Caenorhabditis elegans: one gene and its partners. The protein of the gene in region 1 purifies or fractionates together with the protein of each later gene. This does not show direct contact. Each region holds a gene or a part of one and is shown in the gene's direction. Other genes may lie near its edges.

Evidence for each region.
Region 2: the proteins of T27F6.6 (region 1) and pfkb-1.1 fractionate together in Caenorhabditis elegans (co-fractionation; one large-scale study listed by BioGRID). This does not show direct contact.
Region 3: the proteins of T27F6.6 (region 1) and gly-13 fractionate together in Caenorhabditis elegans (co-fractionation; one large-scale study listed by BioGRID). This does not show direct contact.

What each region holds. Positions count from the first base shown.
Region 1 is NC_003279.8:12,489,000-12,492,753, forward strand, and holds the start of T27F6.6 (Putative neutral sphingomyelinase), read left to right. Parts: upstream 1-1,976; 5' UTR 1,977-1,980; coding exon 1,981-2,074; intron 2,075-2,332; coding exon 2,333-2,600; intron 2,601-3,247; coding exon 3,248-3,455; intron 3,456-3,727; coding exon 3,728-3,754. Other genes in the region: pars-2 (putative proline--tRNA ligase, mitochondrial), read left to right, coding at 1-142, 429-827, 1,209-1,394, 1,611-1,796. UniProt on the Caenorhabditis elegans protein: Catalyzes the hydrolysis of sphingomyelin producing a ceramide (N-acyl-sphingoid base) and a phosphocholine. C.elegans contain specific sphingoid bases, which are unique or different in structure compared to the sphingoid bases found in other animals.
Region 2 is NC_003279.8:5,129,538-5,133,291, forward strand, and holds the start of pfkb-1.1 (6-phosphofructo-2-kinase domain-containing protein), read left to right. Parts: upstream 1-1,982; 5' UTR 1,983-1,984; coding exon of another isoform or gene 1,985-2,002; coding exon 2,003-2,060; intron 2,061-2,366; coding exon 2,367-2,492; intron 2,493-2,546; coding exon 2,547-2,649; intron 2,650-2,705; coding exon 2,706-2,772; intron 2,773-2,829; coding exon 2,830-2,973; intron 2,974-3,021; coding exon 3,022-3,282; intron 3,283-3,754. Other genes in the region: Y110A7A.7 (Fungal lipase-type domain-containing protein), read left to right, coding at 242-451, 509-625, 688-999, 1,162-1,331, 1,381-1,510.
Region 3 is NC_003284.9:9,294,911-9,298,664, reverse strand, and holds the start of gly-13 (Putative alpha-1,3-mannosyl-glycoprotein 2-beta-N-acetylglucosaminyltransferase), read left to right. Parts: upstream 1-2,042; 5' UTR 2,043-2,072; coding exon 2,073-2,156; intron 2,157-2,202; coding exon 2,203-2,361; intron 2,362-2,536; coding exon 2,537-2,581; intron 2,582-2,628; coding exon 2,629-2,684; intron 2,685-2,735; coding exon 2,736-2,844; intron 2,845-2,893; coding exon 2,894-3,038; intron 3,039-3,083; coding exon 3,084-3,193; intron 3,194-3,248; coding exon 3,249-3,328; intron 3,329-3,575; coding exon 3,576-3,725; intron 3,726-3,754. Other genes in the region: B0416.7 (uncharacterized protein), read left to right, coding at 744-886, 1,021-1,117, 1,427-1,533, 1,604-1,655.

The sequences.
Region 1 (3,754 bases):
GCGTGGGCGTCAATTTCTAATGAAGGATATGTATTCGTTTTCCACTGATGCGGAGACATCTCAACAAACATATGCACAGATTCGTCAGATTTATGATCGAATTTTTGGAGAGATTTTGCAGTTGGACGAGGATGTGATTAAGGTGAAAATTTCATTTAAAAAAAGTAGAAAAATCGATTTTTAGACTCAAAAATTCAAAATTTTGAGCTAAAATTGGCAAGTTTTGACTCATTTTTAGTCTAAAATCGTTGAAAACTCGAGTTTTAACCCAAAAATTCAAATTTTCCGCCAACCGCATGTCGCTTGTGCGCTCTATTGCGAATTGTCGATAGAGCGCATCTACAACGTGCGATCCGCGGGAAATCTGAATTTTAGGCTTAAATTTTGCTGCAAACGCGCCCCAACGACAGAAATCCAAAATTTTTCAGGTGGAAGCAGATTCCGGAGTACATGGAGGTCATATAAGTCATGAATATCACCTGAAAAGCAGTTTGGAGGAGGATTTTGTGAATTTCTGCGAAAATTGCAAAAATCACAACAAATTCGAAGGTCCAGGGCCGGCGAAATGTGAAAAATGTGCTGAAAATTCATCAAAAACTGTGCAAAAAATCCCATCCGTCGAAATTGCGCACACATTCCACCTCGGCACCAAATATTCAGAAGCTCTCGGAGCCAAATTTCAAGGAAAACCATTGGATATGTGCTGTTTTGGAATTGGTGTAACACGGCTTCTTCCGGCGGCAATTGATTTGTTATCAGTTAGTGATAAGGCTCTCCGACTGCCCAGAGCTATCGCTCCGTTCGATGCTGTGATTATTGTAAAGAAAGTGAGCAATTTTGGAGAAAAAATTGAGAAAAATCGAATTTTTCGCTAAAAAATCGTGAAAAATCAAGATTTTTCACTGCGAAATCCAGAAAATTCGATAAAATCTTAGTTTTCAACTCAAAAATTCAAATTTCCCGCCGACCGCATGACGCAACTGCGCTCCATTGAGAAAACTGCCATTTTCGTGTTAAATTTTTTTTTTTCGATTTTCCCTACTGAAAATGATTTTTTTGGAGAAAAAACGAATAGAATATCATTAGAGCGCACTTGCAACCTGTGATCGACAAGAAATGTGAATTTCTGAGATGATTTTTGACGCTTTTTGGCGATTTTTGCTCTAAAATGTTTAAAAAATTAATTTTTCAACCAATTTTCCTTGCAGAGCCTCATGTCGAATGTGATTGTGGAAATGGCGAGCTCGTCGGCTTCTCGTTATCTAAAAGGAGGCATTTTATTGGACGATCGTGTGGAAATGTCGGCCGGAAAGCGAATTCACGACGCAAATCGACTCGGAATTCCATTTATTCTCGTTATTGCGAACGAGACGGAGCGGAGTCTTGCTACGCAGGTAAAAACGGTCGAAAATTCCATTTTTTCAGCAAAGAAAAAGCGGAAATTCCACGAAAAAACGGGAGAAAATAGGCGAAAATTTGAAAATTTCAGCAAAAAATTCAAATTTTCCGCTGCTCGTTTACTGCAAATGCGCTCCAATGATAATTTTCACATCGGAGCGCATTTGCAGCCTAAAAAAACACAATTTTAAGCCAATTTTCCCCTATTTCAGAAGCCCGTCATCGAGGTATTCACGACACACGCCAAGTCTGCGGAGCCCATGTCTCAGGGCTCAATGAGCTTGGACCGTTTCGTGACTTTTGTGCAATCTACGCTTTATGGAGGTGGCGGAGCACACGATTCTGGTCATTTGGCACATAATCAAGTACTTGATCAACTCGGATCTCATCAGCATTGAATTTTGTTGAAAATTTGATTTTTAGGAGATTTCTATGGTTTTTTTGTTACATTTCTTTGATTTTCTTGTTTTTTCCTGAAAAAATGTGATTTTTAGACTCTTTCTAGTGTTTTTTGAGGTTTTCGAACCTTTTTATACCTATTTTGCCCTTCAAAACACGAATTTAAGCCCATATTCCAGGCTAATGGAGCCATCCAGCGAGCAAGAGTCCCAGGAAAGTCAGAAAGTCGACATGGAGCCGGTTTTCCGCCGGGAATCATTCGCCGCGTTGAGAAGAAGTGAGAAAATTGGAAAAAAAACGGCTGAAATTCAAGTTTTTCACCCAAGAATTTGAATTTTCTACCGACTGCACTGTGCAAATGCGCTCCAATGAGAAAACTGTCGTTGGAGCGCGATTGCAGCAGGATCGGCGGGAATTTCAAATTTCTGAATCAAAATATTGATATTTCGCTAGTTTTGCGCGTATTTTAGCTTAATTTTCAATCAGGGATCTAATTTTTCACGATTTTCCCTCCCGAATTATCGATTTTTTGCAGATAACGTGGCTGCTCGTCAACTCCGTGTGGTTACCCTTAACGCGTGGTGTCTCCCACAACCCTGGCCCATCGGATCTACGGATCGAGTTCACCGACTGAATAAAATCGGCCAATACATGATTGATGAGCTCTACGACATTGTCGGGCTCCAGGAGCTCTGGTCATATTATGATTTTGTGCGACTCAGCGAGCAAGTCTCGTCGGTTTATCCGTATTTTCACTATTTTCACTCGGGATTCACTGGCAGTGGTGTCTGTGTGTTTTCTAGGTGATTTTTTCTACAAAAAGATTTAAAAAATCGATAAAATCCTACTTTTTCCGAAAGTTGTCCGAATGGCGCAGTGGGATTTCCGCCGACTACCAATCTGAAGAGCGGGGTTCGAGTCCCCACTAAGGCAACATTTTTTGATTTATTGTGCATACGCTGCAAAAGTTTTTTTTTTAACTTAAAAATCTTAGCATTCCCACAAAATTAGTTTAAAAATTTTTTCTGAAAACATGTAATTTTTTCTGAAAATATGACAATTTTTTTTCGAAAAATCCAAATCTCAACTCTAAACCTTCACTAAAAACAGTTTCCTGCTCATTTTACAACGTCTAGAATCTAATTTCTGCAAAACAAAAAATAGTTGCCACCGTGGGGGGTCGAACCCCGGTCTTCAGTTTGGTGGTAGCCATCGAAAATCCCACTGCGCCACTTGTTCACATTGAAAAAATTTTCGGTTTTTTTCAAACATTTTGTTAAATTTTTAGAAATTTGTGGAATATTTGGGTTAAAAGGATAAAACTGAACAAAATTACGTTTAATATAATATCCTTTTAATATTAATAAAATTTAATATAATATAATATCCAAAAAAAAAAATTTTTCCGAATTTTCATCAAATCTTCTCCAATTTTTTTCCATATTTTCAGACACCCAATCGTATCCACTTTAACAAATCGATATTCTCTCAACGGATTCGCTCATCACATTCACCGCGGCGACTGGTTCGGCGGAAAAGTTGTCGGGCTTACCGAAATCGAGATTGACGGCGATTTGCGCGTCAATTTCTACACAACACATCTTCACGCGGAGTACGATCGTGAAAATGATCTCTATTTGCCGCACAGAACCGCGCAGGTGCTTGAAAACTCGAAAAATTCAGAAAAAATCAATATTTTAGGAAGTTTTACTCAAAAAATTAATTTTTCCATCAAGATTTCGCAGTTTTTAACTCAAAAATTCAAATTCCCGCCAAAAAATCCATAGGACTTCTTGCAAGTGCGCTCTATTGATAATTATGCATTAGAGCGCATTTGCAGCTGGGAATTTGATTTTTCGAGTCAATTTTTCGAGCATGTGACTCGAAAATAAGTGAAATAGACAATTTTTGACAAAATTTAATTTTTCAGGCATTCGAACTTGCTCAATTCGTCCGC
Region 2 (3,754 bases), 7.4 Mb from region 1:
ATTTATTTGTTACTTTCCTCTTCCTGAATTCTGAATTCTTGAATCTCAAACCAAATGAATCGACTTTTTCATTTATATAAAACTCAACAACTAAATACTAACCAATTGGTGGAATTTCTCCCCTCTTAAATATATCTTTACACTTATCCAATCTAACAACTTTTCACCTCGTAAACAACTCTCAATCCTCCCAATTTTCCTCTCCAGGTCTCAGTGATTTTCGATCGGAATTTCGACCCATATGCGAAACGGGTTCGCTCTTTTTTCATGTCTTTTCTTCTTTCTAGCTGATTGCAAGAAAGTAAATCGAGATTTTGACTATGAATTGAGCAAGAGAACTCTGGAATTCGCAGCGGCTGCGTATTCCATCGATCCGGAACCTTGCATCTCGAAAAACAATGCGACTTTATTGTTTTTCAAAAAGGTGGAGTGCGATTATATGCGTGACGAGGTAAAAGATCATGAGATCTTTAAATATTCAAAAATCATCTGATTTAATTTTTTCCAGTGCTGGAGTGTGATTGCTGCCGACAACGACACAATATTCGTCAGTTTCAGTGGAACAAAATCGAAAGAGCAGCTGGTAACTGAACTTATCGAAAGCATTGGTCGGCCAAAGCACAAAGTAGGCTCATGTTTCAAGTGTTTGTCTGAGTACTCACAGAGCAAAGAAAACTTATTTTACAGTTGCACAATGCTGGATCAGTTCATTATTACTTCTACTCTGCTCTAAAAACAATGTGGTCACCAATGGAAAAACTACTGCGAGGACTGAAAGACTCACTTCCAGATCATAAAATTGTGTTCACAGGACACTCATTGGGCGGAGCTATTGCAAGTATTGCATCGACTGTTTTCGTTAGAAACTTTCCCGAAACGTCGAGTCGAACCTTTTCAATCACATTCGGACAGCCTAGAGTTGGAAATCTCGAATATGCCATGACACATGACAAATTAGTTGCTGGAGGAAGCTGGAGACTGATTCATGGAAGAGATATTGTGAGGGAGACTAATATTTAAGATTTTTTTAATGCTTTATTAGGCTCAAAATGCACCCAAATGAGCGAATTTCGTAATGAAACTTCTCAAACAAGTTCGAAATTTTTTTCTGGCGGTTCAAAATATCCTCTTTCAAAAGACTATTAAAAGTTTTTTTTCTAGGTTGCACATATTCCGTTCTGCGTGGAAAGCTATGCCAGATGGTGTATACCATTCTACAATCATGGATCCTATCACCATGGAGTCGAAGTCTGGTTTCCTGGAAACATGACAAGTCAAGATACGTTCAAAGTTTGCACCGGGACTCCATTGAACGAGGACAATTTGTGCAGGCAAGTGACAGTGATCGAAATCACGTGATAAGAAAATCTTCTCTTACAGCAACACTCATCGCTACTTTGACATCAACGATCACCTGTTCTACTTTGGACACCACGTCTCAGATTACGGTGTTAATGGATGTGTAGACCCACCGGATGATGAACCATTAATAAATAATGAAAATGTTTAAATAAATTTAAAAATGTTGATTGAATTGCGATTCTTTTTCTCGTCGTTTCAACTGTTGAAAAGTCGGTTTGAGAGAATATTCTCGCTTCCGTGTGTCACGTATATTTTCTCAGGACTTTCTTTTTATTGGAGAGAGAGAGGAGGCGCCAAAGAAGATAAGACACCCGCGAACTCGAGTGTAAGAAGAAACAAGGGAGGAGAAGAGAGAAAGAAAGGGATGGTTGAACACAGAAAATGAATTGTTGGTTATTTTTCTTTTCGTTTTCGGTTTCCTACTTTATTGTTATGGAAGATTGTGTCTACTTTCTTCCCATTCATAACACGAACCTTCTTTCTTTCTTTCTCTCTATCATTGCCTGTTTTTCTTTCTCTCCGGCGCAATAATATTATTATTGATTTCTTAATATTTGATTAAAATGATAAGCCTTTGTCTTCGGAATCATTTTGATAAGAGACGATATCATTTCGGCTAGAAATGTTGCAGGAGAACGAGATGCCTGGGCCAGCCGGCGTACCGCAGCGCAAAATGACGTATTTCGTGCCGAAGAGTGGTCAGTTTACTTTAAAAGAGGACTTACCATTTTTTTTTGCTCTTTTAGACTCGAAATGTGCCCAAATGAGCGAAATTTAAAAAGATAGTTTATTTCACATAATTTCAATTAAAATTGATTTCCGTCCGTTTCGACATGGAAAATTTGGCAAAATTGAAGATTTTAGCTAAAATCAAATAGCCCATTTTTTTTCGAAATTTTGAGCCGTTTTGGACGCATTTTGAGTTGAAAAAGTGCATAAAATTGATCGATTAGCCCTATTTTATTTTCATTCCACATTGTCTTCTCAAAAATCTCAATTTTCAGACAACTCAAACGAGCAGGTTCGAGTTCCAAACGTCATCGCACTTGTCGGACTGCCGGCACGTGGCAAAACATACATCTCACACAAACTGTGTCGTTACCTCAACTGGATTGGAATTAAGACCAAAGGTTGGTCCTGATTCGATTATATGTACGACATGAAACAAAAAATCAAAATTACAGCATTCAATGTCGGCGAGTACAGAAGAAGAGCGTGTAATTTGGAAGAAGAAGGCGAAAATGAGTTCTTCTCGCCAAACAACGCCAGAGGTCAAAAGATCCGAGAGTGAGATTTTACGAAACTATGAAGAAAAAAAATTAAAAAAATTCCTGAATTTTCAGTGAGTGCGCGAAATTAGCCATTGAAGATATGGGAAGGTACTTGGATAACAAGGAAGGAGAAGTGGCGGTGAGTTACAAAGGAAAAAATTTCAAAAAAATATATAGACATAAACTTTTTATTCAGATTCTCGACGCGACAAATACTACAAGAGACCGACGAAAGCTTCTGATGGAGTTTTGCAGAAATATGATGCACGAGCCACCATTCCGTGTCTTCTTTGTGGAATCTGTTTGTGATGATCCTGATATTATCAACTCGAATATCACGGTAACCTTTAGATCTTCAAAATAATCACCTTAACCCGCATATTTTCAGGAAGTGAAAATCAATTCGCCAGATTATAAAGGAATAATGTCTCAAGAGGAAGCAAAAGAAGACTTTTTGAAGCGTATCGAGAACTATCGAATGCAATATGAGCCACTTGATGAGGATCATGATGAAGAGCTGAGCTATATCAAAGTTATCAATGCCGGAAAATCCTTCTATGTTCACAATGTTAATGGTCATGTGCAGAGTCGTGTTGTGTATTTCCTGATGAATATTCATCTTCTTCCAAGAAGTATTTATTTGTCAAGAGTAAGTTTAACAAAAAAACCGAAAAAATTTTGCGCTAAAAATAGGTAACAGGTCTCGACGCGAAAATTTTTATTAAATGCCAAAAAGTGTGCGTCTTTACAAACTACTGTAGTTTCATTTTTTTTGCTGCCGAGTTTTCATTGAGTTTCAGTTTTCTCACGATTTGCTGTAAAAACGTTTTTATTTTTTATTTCACTTTTTGATAAATTAATATTTTTTTACCAAACAAGCTAAGAGAGCCCGTAAAAAAACTTGAATTTTAACAAATCGTGAAAAAAAAAGAAAATCAATGAAAATTCCGCAGCAACGAGAGTTTGAAATTACAGTATTCTTTAAAGGTGATGCCTTTTTTCATTTAACAAAAATGTCGTGTCAAGACCGGACACCGGTTTTTTTGGCACAAAATTCCGTTTCTGGGATATAATTCATTCAATTAACAGCACTGAGAATTATCAAGTATTTTTAAACTTTT
Region 3 (3,754 bases), on another chromosome or scaffold:
GCAAAAAAGCGTGCGACCCCGATATTTGATAAGTTTTATTTGAAAAGTCTCCAACCATTTAAAACTGAACACCAATAATTATGATATCTTCAATAAAATCTACTAACGACATAGAATGTCAGACGGTTTTGGGATTTGGTTGATTTACAAAGTATGTGTTGCAAAAACCGAGAAGTTCACATTTTTTGACTGAAACAAGACTAAAAAAAGGATTTGCCAACGTTTTTATTGCATGCAGTCATTTTAGCTAAAAGTAATTTTTCCTACTGGCGCAACCCAAGGCTGGAAAATCTATTGGGCAGCCAAGCAAATTGGCAACAGTTTGAGTTTTTCAAACCAAAAAATTGTCTCACATTAGCCCTGCGCAATAGTAATTTTTATTTCGGTCTGTTAACCATTAGAAACATGATATTGGACTTGTCTTTTCTCCCGATTCTTCATGGTTTGACTGAAAATATATGTATTTCAATGATAGTTTTCTGCTATACACTATTTCAACACTCCAATTACAAAACAAAAATGTCACGAGATCTCTCATCATTTAATTTTTCGAAATGAAACGTAATTTTTGATCTTGCAACGATGCTATTAGTGACCGTCATTTCCATTGGCAAGGCTGGGTCATAGCTACTTGAGAACAAGTTCTCTTGAATCGACAATATCAATTACGAGAAAGACCACTTCTTCTCGCTCACAAATTGTTTTTATTTTTTTTATTGTTTGACATTACAGATTAAGAAATGATGAATCTTTCAACAGCTATTATCTCTTGTTTATGCATTGGAGTTCTTAGCTATGAAAATAAGTTTCAATTTACTGGAACTGTGTATTGCAAAAGTAACGCCCCATGGTGTGTAAGAATTCGTGTTATAGAAGTTGATACATTGTGAGTTTTATCAGATTAGCAAATGTTGCATACATTGAGAGAAATTATTTTCCATGGTAAAAATTTAAATTTAGAAAAAAAATTTAAATTTAAATTTAAATGTAAATCTTCTATGTATTACAAACACATTTTAGAGTCGACGACGGAGTTGCCTCAGTTGATTTTTGTTCAAATGAAGTTACTCAAACTTACGATATTGGAGGAGTGCAAGAAAATGATGGACTTCTGGACGTAGGTTTTAAAAATTGAATTGGTAACAAGTCAAATGATTAGAAGCAAGTAAAAATAGTGATTCAATTTTTGGCAAACATGCGTAAACGTTGGAGTTTAAATTTTTATTTATTTAATAGTTCCTTCATATCAATAACATTATTCCACAGTTTATTTTATTTTCCATGATTCTCATATTTTTTGTCAGTGTTAAATCACAGTAAAATACATATATCAGTTAAGCTGTTACGTAGGCAATAATACTAAAATGCTGGAAATTTTTTTTAAACTATAAACAATATTTGATAAGAATTCCAAAAAAAATTTCAGCGTAATTTTGAACTCCAAATGGTTGTATTCCATAACTGCAGTCGCAACACTGAAACTGTCTTCAAAACGGGAATCTGGAGAATTCCGCTTCCGAAGGCTCCAACTGTGTAAGTCAAATAAAGTTTAAATAAGCTTTAATAGAACTTTACTTTCAGCTAAATTCAATAATTTTTTCAGACACGCTCCTATTCGCCAACATTTGAACTTGAATACGAATAATTCACAATAATTTTACGATCTTTCACAATTTTTTTATTTTGCTTCTTTTTCGAAAATAAAATTCAAGAATCAGACTAATGTAAAATCAGCGATTTATACTTTTACAAAGCAATTACATGCACCATATCGAAATCTTGCAAAATACTGCATAAACTACGGGATTAGCGGTGGGGTTTTGCGTCCTCAATAAATAGCGTGTCACCCAGTTGTGTGCGGCATAGTGGCAAAACACCATGCGGCGGGTTGCATGGGGGAGGAGTCTCACCGAAACCACGTCAAACTGCGGTTTATTAACCAAATATTATTAACATTTATTGTTTTTCCGTGGTTTTTTTTTTGCAATATTTATTTGTATTTTTCAAATATTAAAAGGTATATTTTTATTAATAATTTTCAGGCGGATGTGTACATATTTCCACCTAAAATCATGCATGCGGTGACAAAAATCTTTATCATTTTCATATTTGTATTTATTTTATGGACGCTCTACGTAGAAAATGATATAACAAATGTAAGTTTTTATTTAATTCGAAAAATATATAAAAACCAAGCTTTAGAGAACCAGAAATACGGATAATATTGATGATTTACTGGAATCAGCGAATAGATTGGAGCGGTTATTGAAGTTTGAGGCAAAGAAGATTGCTGCGTTGGCGGAAGATGTGCACAAAATAAGGGCAAACAGGAAGGGAAAACATGTGATAATGGAAGAAATGGTAAGGGTTTAAATTTTGAAATTTCAAAACTGAATTCAGAGTTACAATAAATCTATTTTTGCCATGTGAAACTGAATTGATGCTAACAGGGGTTTCAATGATCTTCGAGAGTAACTGCGAACTCCAAATTTATAAAAAAATTTTTAATAAAAAATGTACCATTTCAAAATTTCAGGTTTCTCAAGATTTGAAGCAATGGAAAGACCCCATTCCGGTTTTGGTATGCAGATTCGGAGTTTCTTTTCAAAATAATTGAGTTCTTTCCAGGTTTTCTCCTGTAATCGTGCGATGGCAGTGAGAGACCATGTTGAGAAACTTATCAGGTACCTTTCCATAGTTATTTTTGCAATAATTTTTATTAAGTATGTTTCCAGGTACCGACCAAGTCAGGAGAAGTTCCCAATCATTGTTACCCAAGACTGTGATAATGAAAATGTGAAGAACGAAGTGAAGAAGTTTGGAGACAAAGTGGAGTACATTAAGGTAGATTTCAAAAATCTCTGTCTGCAATCTCAATTTCATATAATTTCAGCATTTGGCCGGCGATAAAGCGAATATCACAATTCCACCCAGTCACCGACAGTACACCGCTTATTACCGCATAGCACGTCATTACAAATTGGCGCTCAATCACGTTTTTGTTGATAAGGGCTACTCATCAGTCATTATTACAGAAGGCAAGGTGATCATTTGATTTCATTTTAGATAAACTAAAATTACAGACGATCTCGACATTTCGCCAGACTTCTTCTCGTACTTCTCAAGTACGCGATATTTGCTGGAAAACGATGAGAAATTGTGGTGCGTCACTGCCTGGAACGACAATGGAAAAGTGAATAATACAATCTTAAATTTAATTGACTGTTGCTGAAAATATGTTTTTTCAGCAAGAGAATATTGACATGACTGCGGCTTCTACGTTGTACAGAAGTGACTTCTTTGCAGGACTTGGCTGGATGATGTCTTCGTGAGTTTCGGAAAATTATTTTTACTCATCAGTCATTATTACAGAAATATCATGTTTTTCTGAGAATAATGAAACTAGGGAGTTATAAGAATTTTTCGAAACTATTTTGTCTGTCGAAATCTGTAACATTTTCGAAAGGCTTAACACTTTTTTCCAGAGAACCGAACTTACAATTTCAAAAATTACGATTTTAATTTCTGCAAAATGTTTATGCTAATTTTGAGCTGTGATTTTTTTATATTTTCAGGAAAACGTGGCATGAACTAGAACCAATTTGGCCTGTAGGATTTTGGGATGACTGGATGCGAGACCCTGCACGGCGTAAAGATCGTCAATGCATCCGACCTGAAATCAGTAGGACAGGGATGATGTCTTATGGAAAAGAAGGCGCCAGCAAGTATGAGATTTCTACAATTAAAAGTCTCA